Xenopus tropicalis: one gene and its partners. The protein of the gene in region 3 purifies or fractionates together with the protein of the main gene of each other region. This does not show direct contact. Links are inferred from orthologs where the notes say so. Each region holds a gene or a part of one and is shown on either strand. Other genes may lie near its edges.

Region 1 (4,259 bases), on a different chromosome or scaffold from region 3:
AAGGTGGATGCTAGTGGCCAAAGGAAGTTTTGATGTCACTGTCATGTGATCACTGGGGCTAAAGTAGGGCTGGGCGATATACCGTTTAATACCGAATACCGGTGTTTTTTTTTTTTTTAAACTATATTCATTTTTCAGATACCGCAATACCGGGGTGTCAGGGTACTCACCCATGCGGCCCGGTCTCGCGCGCGTCAAAGCGTGCACATCCGCGATGCACCGACGGCGCCAGTTCTGCGCATGCGTTGGGGGTATTTAAAGCTATCAAACGCCTCCTCCTGTGCTATGTTGTCTGCGGCCTTGCCTGGGAAACTAAGCCTGCCTGATTTACCTTATGACTTTCTGTTGCCGATCCTTCGCTTGCCTGACTCTGATTTTCAATACTGCAGTAATTATCCTCTAATTTATTAGGAAATGGGGTTAACACCTAAGCATGCATGGAAAAAAAAATACCGTCAAATACTGTGACACCGATATAATTTTGAAAAATACCGTGATATAAATTTTTGGTCATATCGCCCAGCTCTAGGCTAAAGGTCCCTAGGAACTAGTGTACTTCATATACCAGGTTATGTAAACTATTCATACACAGCATACAGTGGTGTGAAAAACTATTTGCCCCCTTCCTGATTTCTTATTCTTTTGCATGTTTGTCACACTTAAATGTTTATGCTCATCAAAAACCGTTAACTATTAGTCAAAGATAAAATAATTGAACACAAAATGCAGTTTTTAAATGAAGGTTTACGTTATTAAGGGAGGAAAAAAAACTCCAAATCTACATGGCCCTGTGTGAAAAAGTGATTGCCCCCCTTGTTAAAAAATAACTTAACTGTGGTTTATCACACCTGAGGTTTTTTTCTGTAGTCACACCCAGACCTGATTACTGCCACACCTGTTTCAATCAAGAAATCACTTAAATAGGAGCTACCTGACATAGAGAAGTAAACCAAAAGCACCTCAAAAGCTAGACATCATGCCAAGATCCAAAGAAATTCAGGAACAAATGAGAACAAAAGTAATTGAGATCTATCAGTCTGGTAAAGGTTTTAAAGCCATTTCTAAAGCTTTGGGACTCCAGCGAACCACAGTGAGAGCCATTATCCACAAATGGCAAAAACATGGAACAGTGGTGAACCTTCCGAGGAGTGGCCGGCCGACCAAAATTACCCCAAGAGCGCAGAGACAACTCATCCGAGAGGCCACAAAAGACCCCAGGACAACATCTAAAGAACTGCAGGCCTCACTTGCCTCAATTAAGGTCAGTGTTCACGACTCCACCATAAGAAAGAGACTGGGCAAAAACGGCCTGCATGGCAGATTTCCAAGGAGCAAACCACTTTTAAGCAAAAAGAACATTAAGGCTCGTCTCAATTTTGCTAAAAAACATCTCAATGATTGCCAAGACTTTTGGGAAAATACCTTGTGGACCGACGAGACAAAAGTTGAACTTTTTGGAAGGTGCGTGTCCCGTTACATCTAGCGTAAAAGTAACACAGCATTTCAGAAAAAGAACATCATACCAACAGTAAAATATGGTGGTGGTAGTGTGATGATCTGGGGTTGTTTTGCTGCTTCAGGACCTGGAAGGCTTGCTGTGATAGATGGAACCATGAATTCTACTGTCTACCAAAAAATCCTGAAGGAGAATGTCCGGCCATCTGTTCGTCAACTCAAGCTGAAGCGATCTTGGGTGCTGCAGCAGGACAATGACCCAAAACACACCAGCAAATCCACCTCTGAATGGCTGAAGAAAAACAAAATGAAGACTTTGGAGTGGCCTAGTCAAAGTCCTGACCTGAATCCTATTGAGATGTTGTGGCATGACCTAAAAAAGGCGGTTCATGCTTGAAAACCCTCAAATAAAGCTGAATTACAACAATTCTGCAAAGATGAGTGGGCCAAAATTCCTCCAGAGCGCTGTAAAAGACTCGTTGCAAGTTATCGCAAACGCTTGATTGCAGTTATTGCTGCTAAGGGTGGCCCAACCAGTTATTAGGTTCAGGGGGCAATTACTTTTTCACACAGGGCCATGTAGGTTTGGATTTTTTTTCTCCCTAAATAATAAAAACCCTCATTTAAAAACTGCATTTTGTGTTTACTTGTGTTATCTTTGACTAATAGTTAAATGTGTTTGATGATCAGAAACATTTTGTGTGACAAACATGCAAAAGAATAAGAAATCAGGAAGGGGGCAAATAGTTTTTCACACCACTGTATATCACTAAGGTACACAATGGTATAGTGGTTCTTACCTTGATAATGCTAAGGTCCTGGATTCAATTCTGACTAAGGCTACATAAAGTTGTTTTGCCTGAAAGTTGATGTTTGAGTTTTATGAACTTTATTTTGGGACATTGGGTTTAGAGCTAGGGTAAAGCTAGAATGCATAATATTTTTCCTAGACATCTGTATATTATTTTGGGAGTTATGGCCTAATATACTGGTTAGGCATTATGTTCTTTAATAGCAGTTCGTGAATATCAGGCTAGATTCTATGCCTTTGTATGTTCCTACTAGTATTGTGTAATGGGTGTGTATTGGCTGCACCCTATGCTCTACAGGGGTGCTGTTGTTGTACCCACCAGGATCTAGTTATTATTTACCAGATTAGCATAATCCTATGATTTACCGTGCTCCCCATAGTATCTCAATTCATATATATTTTTACTGGCGATATCCTAAACACTGTATGCAAGCAAGCTTTCACCCACGTCTATAAAGTGTTGTCACAAAAGCTATAACTCACCGAGCATATAACCAGACCGTCCCCGTTTTAGATTCCAGTGATTTTACAAATAAAGACCATTTATACCTCCCCAGTTATGCTTTGCGTGGGACAGACTCAATTTCCACCATACAGCTCACAGTCCCGGAGAGCCTTTTAAAAACTCAGTTCCTTACCTTTTGCCGGCCCGCTTTCCTTAACCTTTGTCACAATCTCGCGAGATCAGGCAGTGACGTCATGACTACGGAGTATATAAGCGCAGGGACGCTTGACGCTACCGCTTGTGGACTGGCGAGCAAGGAACTGCATAGTAAGGGATAGTGGGGTACAACATCTTTTTCCTCATAAGTGCTGCTGTTAAGACGTGGTACTTTGTGCGCGGCAGGTCACTCGCATGTATATGCTGCCAATTGTTGTTTTGTGCTCACAGTTCCTACTTTGTTTTCTGAGAAACAAAAACAATTAGTGATTGTAAGAATTTATGCCGCCGCCAGAATTTTGGAAGCTACGCTACCAAAGCCCTCCCTTGCAAATATTTGCCAGCAGTGCAATTCATTTTTATCTCTGCTTAAATCTCATACTTGGGCCAATAAACACGAGACTTTTTCCTATTTGCCAACAATACTACAACACGAAGAGTTTTAGGGACACAAAAAGGGGAATTATAGGGAAAGGAAATGGGTGAAACTGACCAAAATAGCCTAAAGATATTTTTTAATTCTGTTATCCAATGACCCCAGTGCTTTTTGCACCACCAGTGGGTAAACCAGTTAAAAATAATATTTGATCGTTTTACATATTGTTTTGCACAAAAGGGACCATGTGATGAGCCTAAAAACTGAATATTATTTTTTTATTACTATGGCATCAAAGGGTTCTGTGGAAATGGGCTGCAGTTTTTGCAATTTAGGTACAAAAAGGTCTAATTTAGGATAAAGATATGTGAAACTAACCAAAATAATTTCATTTTTAGGCTTTTTTTTTTTTTTTTATTAACCTGGTATCAGGATTAAACAACCAGAGAATTTTTTTTTGTGTGTTTCTTGGCATCAGAGGCTCCCATTGCCAATGTTTTTTATGCAAATTAGGGGAACTTTTTCCATAATTTAGGGATTAAAAAAGGGCTGATTTAAAAGATGATGGGTGAAATGTTACTTTATTACAGGGTCTTCGTTGGTTTGCTTTTGTGTGTGTTTACAAACTTGGGCCATGTTTTCATGACACCGAGCAGATAAAGAAAAATTCAAGCGCAATATAGATATAGGATACAAATGGGCAACCACAAGTTGGCAACATAATTTAAAACTACAATAGTATTGCATTTGTTTGGGACTCCATTGGAGGAAAGCAATACCAATCTTTGATAAGAGGCACTGATTTATTTCTTTTAGTAGAAAATTTTAAAGATGTCGATGTTTTGATTATGACATCCATATAGTATATTTCATATATTTTGCAGTATATGTTCATCAAGCTATGTCATAAACACACAAGCCCTGTGTATGGGAGAAGTTTCATCCTGGAATACTGA
Region 2 (4,376 bases), on a different chromosome or scaffold from region 3:
TTTGTTAAAGGAGACATGTTAAAATTAAAAATGTCAGAAACAATCTGGAAACCGGTAAACCCCAACCTTACCCCATCCCTCTGTGTCTTCCTTTCCTCTACCAACCCTATCTTTCCACCTTTACTCTATCTAACACAGGGGTCGGGAACCTTTTTGGCTGAGAGAGCCATAAACACCACATATTTTAAAATGTAATTCCGTGAGAGCCATACAATATGTTTGGCCGCGGATGCTGCAGGGCAAGGTAGGGTGGGTCCCAAGGATACCGGATGTGGATGGGATGCGGAGGAGGGCGTGGCCTGCGCACGGCGGATAGAAGACGTGTTCTAAGGCTTAGAACACGTCTTCTATCCGCCAAGCGCAGGCCACGTCCCCGTTAATTTTTTTATTAAAGATTTGGCAGCAAGCCAGATGCAGCCATCAAAAGAGCTACATCTGGCTACCGAGCCATAGGTTCCCTACCCCTGATCTAACATACAAACTCTGACTGTTTAAACAGAGCTCAACAGAAAAGAGTAACAATCACAAAAGAAGAAAAAGTGAATGCATACAAATTCACTATGTAATAAGCCCACACTTCATTTAAGATGAAAAATAGCTATTCTGTATATTGTCGATGTTGTTTGCCTTTTTTCTTTCTATAAATTTCTAAAATTTAAATTACAAAAAAAAAAAATTTAAAAATGTACCACTGCGTTATACTCCTTTAAATATAGAAGGATTGTGATTAAAAAGGTTGTACTTCGGACTGATTTATTGAGAAATTCCCCCCCAAACCCTACTAGCCACACCCATCTCTCCCACTTCCTGCTGGCTGAATTCTCTGGATGTGTAGGGGAGCCGGCATTGCAAGTATTACAACTCCTGGAGCAAAAGTGACTATATTATCTCATTTATTTGCTGCAAAAAGCAAATATACACTGGGTCAACAAAGACTATACAATTTAGGATAGCTAAAATTAACAATCTAAATTTACTTCAGTACATAAATTTGGACATAACCCTAAAAAAATATTAAAAAAATGAAAAAGAATGGAATGAGTTACAGATCATTTAAACCCTAAATGTAATTGCAAATAGCACTAAATAAACTTATCAAATATATGCTCAATTCTAATATGATGCCAGCAATGCTTAAGGGCCATGAGAGACGGGTAGATTAGTCGGCGCGCAACTAATCTCCCCATAATGCCATCCCACCGGCTAGAATGTATGTTGCCGGTGGGATGGCATACGCGGTGCCGAAATCGCCTCTCACAGCAACTTCTGCGATTTCGGTAAATTGCCGCACCGTGTATGCCATCTCACCAGCTATTTACATTCTCGCCGGTGGGATGTCATATTTGGGAGATAAGTCGCCTGCGACAACGGAGATTTGCCACGGCCCTTAAAAACAAATTGGGACAGGAGCAACTAAAGTCTAGTAAAGTTATGTAAAGATAAAAAGAGCATCCCAGAGAGGGTGGGCCTTTGAAAATAAAGATAGGAGAGATACACCACTCCACAAATCACTGCTTGGGCAAATATTGCAACAAATTAAGAATAATATGTAAAACTGCAAAGATATCATTACCTACAGTGCATAATATTATTAGAGAAATCTGTGTGTGCAAGGACAAGGCCAGAAGCCAATATTATATCTTCGGGCAGCACTGCATTAAAAACATACAGGATTATGTACTGAAAATGACTGCACAAGTTTGAGAATACTTCTGAAAACCATTGTCTGTAAACACAGTTTACAAAGCTAATATTTCACAGTGCATTGTGCCTGAGTTTTCAGAAAGAGCCAGTGCTACACATTAGAACTGATAGGTAGGAAAAACCCTCCCATGTAACTGGAGAAGTAGCAAGCCGGACTTGGATTTCTTACTATTGAGTGGTATTCTGATATCTACTGGGAGCTGCTATCTTGCTAACTTCCCATTGTTCTGCTGATTGGCTGCTGGGAAGGGGGTGATATCACTCCAACTTGCAGCTCAGCAGTAAAGTGTGACTAAAGTTTATCAGATCACAGGCACATGGCTTTGGCACCCTGGGAAATAAAGAATATGGCTATAGCCCCATGGGAAATTTCAAATTGAAATATAAAAAAAAAATTGTGTTTTGAAAAATGGATTTCAAGGCTTCTGCTGCAGAAGCTGTATTAACTGATGCGTTTTGAAAAACAGCTTGGAGTATTGTTCTTAGTGTGGTCCTGCAGGGTTTTGTATTGAGTGCACTTTTATTTATTAGTGACTTAGTTCTTGCATTTCATGCAAAACTATGCAGGTAAATTAATTTTTCCAAGATGTATCCATCCTTGCAGCAAGATCTAGAAAAACTGAATATCATCTGCCACTAAGCCTGGGGATTTTTAATGTTGATAAATGTAAGGTTTGTATTTAATCTGTCCTGTGTGCTCACAAACTAACTAAACAGTTATGTCCCATGTGGCCCACCCTAAAGTCACTCACTAACTAAGAGGTTAGAGGGTTGAAAGCAGGAAGTAGAATTCTGGCTATTATGTTAAGACATCTGCTTTTGCCTAACTATATTACAAATATTTTTTTCTTTTGTGCAGTCTTTTACCCAGTTTCATTTTTACACTGAACTGTTCCTTTAAGTTATCAAGTACAGTAATAAAACAAAGTCTTGATATGCTAAAAGGAATTGCAAAACACTTCCATACAAATGGTATTATTCTCAATAAGAATTGCAAGATAATATAAAGAAACGTTCACAGCTTTACACTTGCTATTCGCATACATTTAAAACCGCAACCACTCACTAGTAATACATGGCTTGTAAGTCAGTCTGTCTTAGTTTTATATTACATGATCCGTCTATAATCATAGAACCCCTTATTACTCCCTCACCTTTTCTCTCCATGGTACGCCGGTGAAACCACGCGCTTATGGTGCGACCCCCAAAACGTCACCAGTGTGCGCTTACAAACGCCAAAAGCGCGTAAGTTGTTTGGACGAGAAAATATCACTCCCACTTTCGTTTTGGCTACGCCTTTTCCTCGAGGGGCGCCTGGGCGGATGTAGCCATGTTGTAGTTGGACTTTTGAGTTAATGTGCGCCTATTTTTTACAACAGACTAAAGGAACTTTTGTTTAGTAAAACTAAATAAGAAAACATGAGTTTTTTTTTAATTCCGCTTGAATCGTTGTGCAATTTCACGTAAAAAATGCTATCAGTGAAGAACAATAAAGAACGAAGTACATAGCATGACACGTGTGCATATGTGTTTGTTGTAAATATGCAAAAAACCCTCAATCCAATTAAAAAAAAAAAAGTGCGGGTGTTTAGTGTTGTCAGCGTCTACCAAGGAGTAGAAGCCAGCAGGGTAAAAGGTCTGGATAAAAAAAGGGGGCGTGATAGGACCAGGAAGGGCTGAGCTATACTTTAAAACTTGCGTTATTACAGAGAGCGGATTGGGCTAGTAGTCAGGGGTTAAAGGGAAATTGTGGCTAGCCAGGGGCAGAATGACTGGGGTGGAAATTATAATTTTACTGGCAAATACACTGCTGTGCCAGCCTGGGCTGCTATATTACTGGCTCCACTGGTGAAATACCATTTGGCAGTCCTATGGGGCAGATTCATCAAAGTACAAGTTTGAATCCCAAAATGGGTAAAATTCGGATCAGATGCGATCATTTCTGACGATCGGAAATGTCACGAATATGCTTACGAAAAAATCGTAATAGTCACGATAATATCATAACGACTGCTTTCTAAGCTAAGGTCTATTGGTCTTAGTGAAGTCGTTTGCACATGGATAGAAAACTGGCTACAGGATCGGGTACAGAGGGTGGTTGTTAATGGCACATTCTCTACTTGGAGTAAGGTTCTCAGTGGGGTCCCTCAGGGTTCTGTACTGGGTCCACTTTTGTTTAATTTGTTCATAAATGACTTAGGGGAGGGTATTATGAGTAATGTATCAGTGTTTGCAGATGACACAAAACTCTGCAGACCAGTCAATTCTATCCAGGATGTGACATCCCTGCAGCAGGATCTTGACCAACTGGCAATCTGGGCAGCTAAGTGGCAGATGAGATTTAATGTGGATAAATGTAAGGTCATGCACCTGGGATGTAAAAATATGCAAGCCCCGTATAACCTTAATGGGACTGCACTAGGCAAATCCATAATGGAGAAGGATCTTGGAGTCCTTGTAGATAATAAACTTGGCTGTAGCAAGCAATGCCAGGCAGCAGCTGCAAGGGCAAACAAGGTTCTGAGCTGTATTAAAAGGGGTATAGATTCACGGGAGGAGGGGGTTATTCTTCCCCTTTACAGAGCACTGGTAAGGCCCCATCTAGAATATGCTGTTCAGTTTTGGTCTCCAGTGCTCAAACGGGACATTATTGAGCTAGAGAGGGTCCAGAG
Region 3 (3,031 bases):
ATAATTTATAAAAATGTTTATTAGTATGTGCTTAATCCTAAATAGGAAAATGCCATTAAGAATTAAGGGCCACCCCTTGGGATCACGTGATTCACAGTGCACACAAACATGCTAGGCCCTCTCAGCCAATGAATGGGCAGAGTTCTGTCTGTAGATTAGTCCCAAACCCCCTTTACCTGAAGCCAAGAATAAAGCACCTGTATATGCCCCTACAGCACCCTATCCCTGAGCCTGCCTGCCCCCGAGTCTTAAACACTGCAGCTCTGGAATGAACTGGCTTGTAGGGGACATAAAGTGGGGGGGCTAACCCCCCCCTCCCCAGTACCCCAAGTAGGTGCTTTTTCTAGTGGGCTGGTAACCAATCAGGATGTAGGTTACTTTTCCAATGGTCTCCATTTAGCTGCAGAAGAATCCTGTTCCAAGGGAGCCCTATGACTTACACAAGCACTAAGGAGCCAGTTATGCTGAGAGGTCTGTGGCCAGGTTAGATTCTCTATAACAGCAATATAAATGTGATGGGGCCCAGGCATTACGTACCCCCACACCGCCCCCCCCCCCCCGGAGGGCACTGAAGAGCAAGACAAGTGAGATAACCAAGTTAAAGATCTTTATTGAAGGCCATGCGCTGCCCCCATTACAGTACTCCAAATCACGTAAACTCTGGAAACACTGGCTTTGTTCTATTACAAAAAAAAAAAAAACAACTAAAATTGCCTCAGGAATGTAGATACAGTCAACTTAAATAGTGAAAGTGCACCACAGGCACTGCTGCAGCTCCCTCCGAGAATCCGCTGGGATTAAATAACTATCCTGCATGGAAACGATACAAAGAGCAAGTACAGAAAATAAAAACAGACTGTGCTTTAACAGCTTATTGGGGGTAGGACGTCGGCATGGGGTAACCCATGACAGCTGGTGCTGTAGCAGTGGCAGCTGGGTATGTGTATGCCTGTTGGGCCATGCTGTTCTGCATTGGAGGTGCACTGTAGCCATTCTGCTGGCTGGCGTAGCCATTCTGGTATGTGCCGTTCTGTGCTCCTGCCCGGAACCCACTCTGAACATTGGTGCCGTAGCTGTTAAAGGAGTTTCCATTGTAATTCTGTGCCCCAAAGCCATTTTGGGATTTGTTGCCGAAGCCATTTTGGGATTTGTTGCCAAAGTCTCTCTTGCCGCCAAACCCACGGTCATAGTTTTCCCGGTCCCACCCACCCCGCTTGCCTGAAGAGAAACGGTCACGTCGGTCGTTCATGCCTCCTCTGCCTCTGAAGCGTCCTGCAAATAGGAAAAGGAATTGACGCTTTAGGGTGTAACATCCAGCAGCCCCACCTTACTACCTTCCTGCGATGGGTACTGGCCCACTTACTAAGTTCTACAGTTCAGTAAAACTCAGGCAGAATCTGCTGCCTCCACCTACATGTGATCCAGTCAGCCTGCACCCCCCATTCTACAAAGCCAACTGGGAGTGGGCTCTTACCTCTGTCCTCCACCAGCTGCAGCAGCTTGGGGTTGATGGCTTGGTTTGCTTCTCGGAGGACGGAGATCAGGTCATTAACTTGCTTAATATTTCCTGGGGTAAAGAAAGTGTATGCGGTGCCAGTTTTGCTGCTGCGGGCAGTTCTTCCAATTCGGTGGATATAATCCTCTGAGGAGTTCGGGTAGTCATAATTGATGACAAATTTCACATCTTCCACATCTGTAGAGTGTCGCAGTGTGGCAAAACAGGGAGGGCAAATAAGGTTTTGCACACCACAAGGGTCAGACCAAAAACACAAGTTAGCCAAATAGGGGATTTGCAGAGAGGAATCAAGGCTGAAAAACAAAAGTTAGGCTGCCCGCTCTAGAGAAGCAATGTGCCCAATAACTCCACCCCCAAACACACACACCTTACCAGTAGTTTGCACTGCCCAAAGTCTCCCATTATTAATAGTCAAGTGACCTCTGATTGCTTGTCAGCAGTACAGCCACTGGCGCCAACAGCAGCCTCCTCATGTGCTCAGTTCGAGGACCTTCAAGAAAACTGGAAGTGGTCCACCTCACACATTCATTAGAAGCTCAGAAATCTGGCCACCCACTGCTTTTGTCTTGCCAAGACCTTACAAGTTGAGCGACAAGCGCACACATCCTGGGAACACCCGCCCCTATGAATACAGGCATTTGGGAGCCAGAGTTTATTGCTGTGTGCTGCGTGTCGTCTAGGCAAGCGCTTGCGAGAAACCAGGATTCACTTGAGAATTTGTCCCCTCTGGCAGGTCTCGACATGACCACTACGATACAGGTGAGGGAGGATCGTGAAACCTAAGGCTAGAGGAGTTCTGCTTCCTCTCCCTTTGCTTTACACCCATTCATGTGCCAGTACTCACCAATTTGTCTAACAAAAGGCTTCCAACTAAATGAGCTGCTCCCATTATATTACTGCCAATGTGCGTCTCCAACAAGTCAACCCCTCAACGCAACCCTGGGGGGTAAGTGGCAGAATGCGTTGCAAGTATCAGAGCTAGAAGCATGCAACAAATGTGGGATGTCTTTATGGGATTGCAGTTTTGGTAATGGGGGAGGGGGTACAAGTTAAATTTTGCCTTTTGAAGATACTGGCACACGATGCTCAGCTTTCCACTTCTCTACACAACTGGAAGCAGACAGCCAATTTCCACTAGTCCTCCATCCCCTTGCGTCCTCCGAATGTCATGCCTAGGCCTTGCCACAAAGACCGCACCTTTGTGAAAAACAAAACTCAAGAGAATTGCAGAGGTTAAAGAAAGCAAATCACTTTCTTTAAAACAATGACATTTCACAACAGTCGTCCGTTCATTGGCTTTCACCGAGCAAAAACAGATTGAACGTACTAACCTAGACCTCTGGAAGCAACGTCTGTGGCAATCAGGATAGGCGATTTACCGTGTTTGAACTCTGCAAGGATGGAACACAGTTTTAGGAAATGCAAAGAACCTATAATTGCCAGCTTAGCAATAATGTGCACAGCTTGCCTACCATTTAAGACCCAGTCACGTTCCTGCTGGCTCTTATCACCATG

What was found. The genes of interacting proteins can lie anywhere in the genome.
Region 1: the proteins of ddx5 (region 3) and drosha purify together in Homo sapiens (co-immunoprecipitation; 4 studies listed by BioGRID and IntAct, with this or other methods). This does not show direct contact. The link is inferred for Xenopus tropicalis from reciprocal best matches to the Homo sapiens genes DDX5 and DROSHA.
Region 2: the proteins of ddx5 (region 3) and srpk1 purify together in Homo sapiens (affinity purification with mass spectrometry; 3 studies listed by BioGRID and IntAct, with this or other methods). This does not show direct contact. The link is inferred for Xenopus tropicalis from reciprocal best matches to the Homo sapiens genes DDX5 and SRPK1.

What each region holds. Positions count from the first base shown.
Region 1 is NC_030682.2:84,246,826-84,251,084, forward strand, and holds the start of drosha (ribonuclease 3), read right to left. Parts: upstream 2,894-4,259; 5' UTR 2,750-2,893; intron 1-2,749. UniProt on the Homo sapiens protein: Ribonuclease III double-stranded (ds) RNA-specific endoribonuclease that is involved in the initial step of microRNA (miRNA) biogenesis.
Region 2 is NC_030678.2:69,859,379-69,863,754, forward strand, and holds the start of srpk1 (SRSF protein kinase 1), read right to left. Parts: upstream 2,894-4,376; 5' UTR 2,872-2,893; coding exon 2,859-2,871; intron 1-2,858. UniProt on the Homo sapiens protein: Serine/arginine-rich protein-specific kinase which specifically phosphorylates its substrates at serine residues located in regions rich in arginine/serine dipeptides, known as RS domains and is involved in the phosphorylation of SR splicing factors and the regulation of splicing.
Region 3 is NC_030686.2:51,540,382-51,543,412, reverse strand, and holds the end of ddx5 (probable ATP-dependent RNA helicase DDX5), read right to left. Parts: coding exon 2,989-3,031; intron 2,908-2,988; coding exon 2,848-2,907; intron 1,694-2,847; coding exon 1,475-1,693; intron 1,273-1,474; coding exon 872-1,272; 3' UTR 591-871; downstream 1-590. UniProt on the Homo sapiens protein: Involved in the alternative regulation of pre-mRNA splicing; its RNA helicase activity is necessary for increasing tau exon 10 inclusion and occurs in a RBM4-dependent manner. Binds to the tau pre-mRNA in the stem-loop region downstream of exon 10.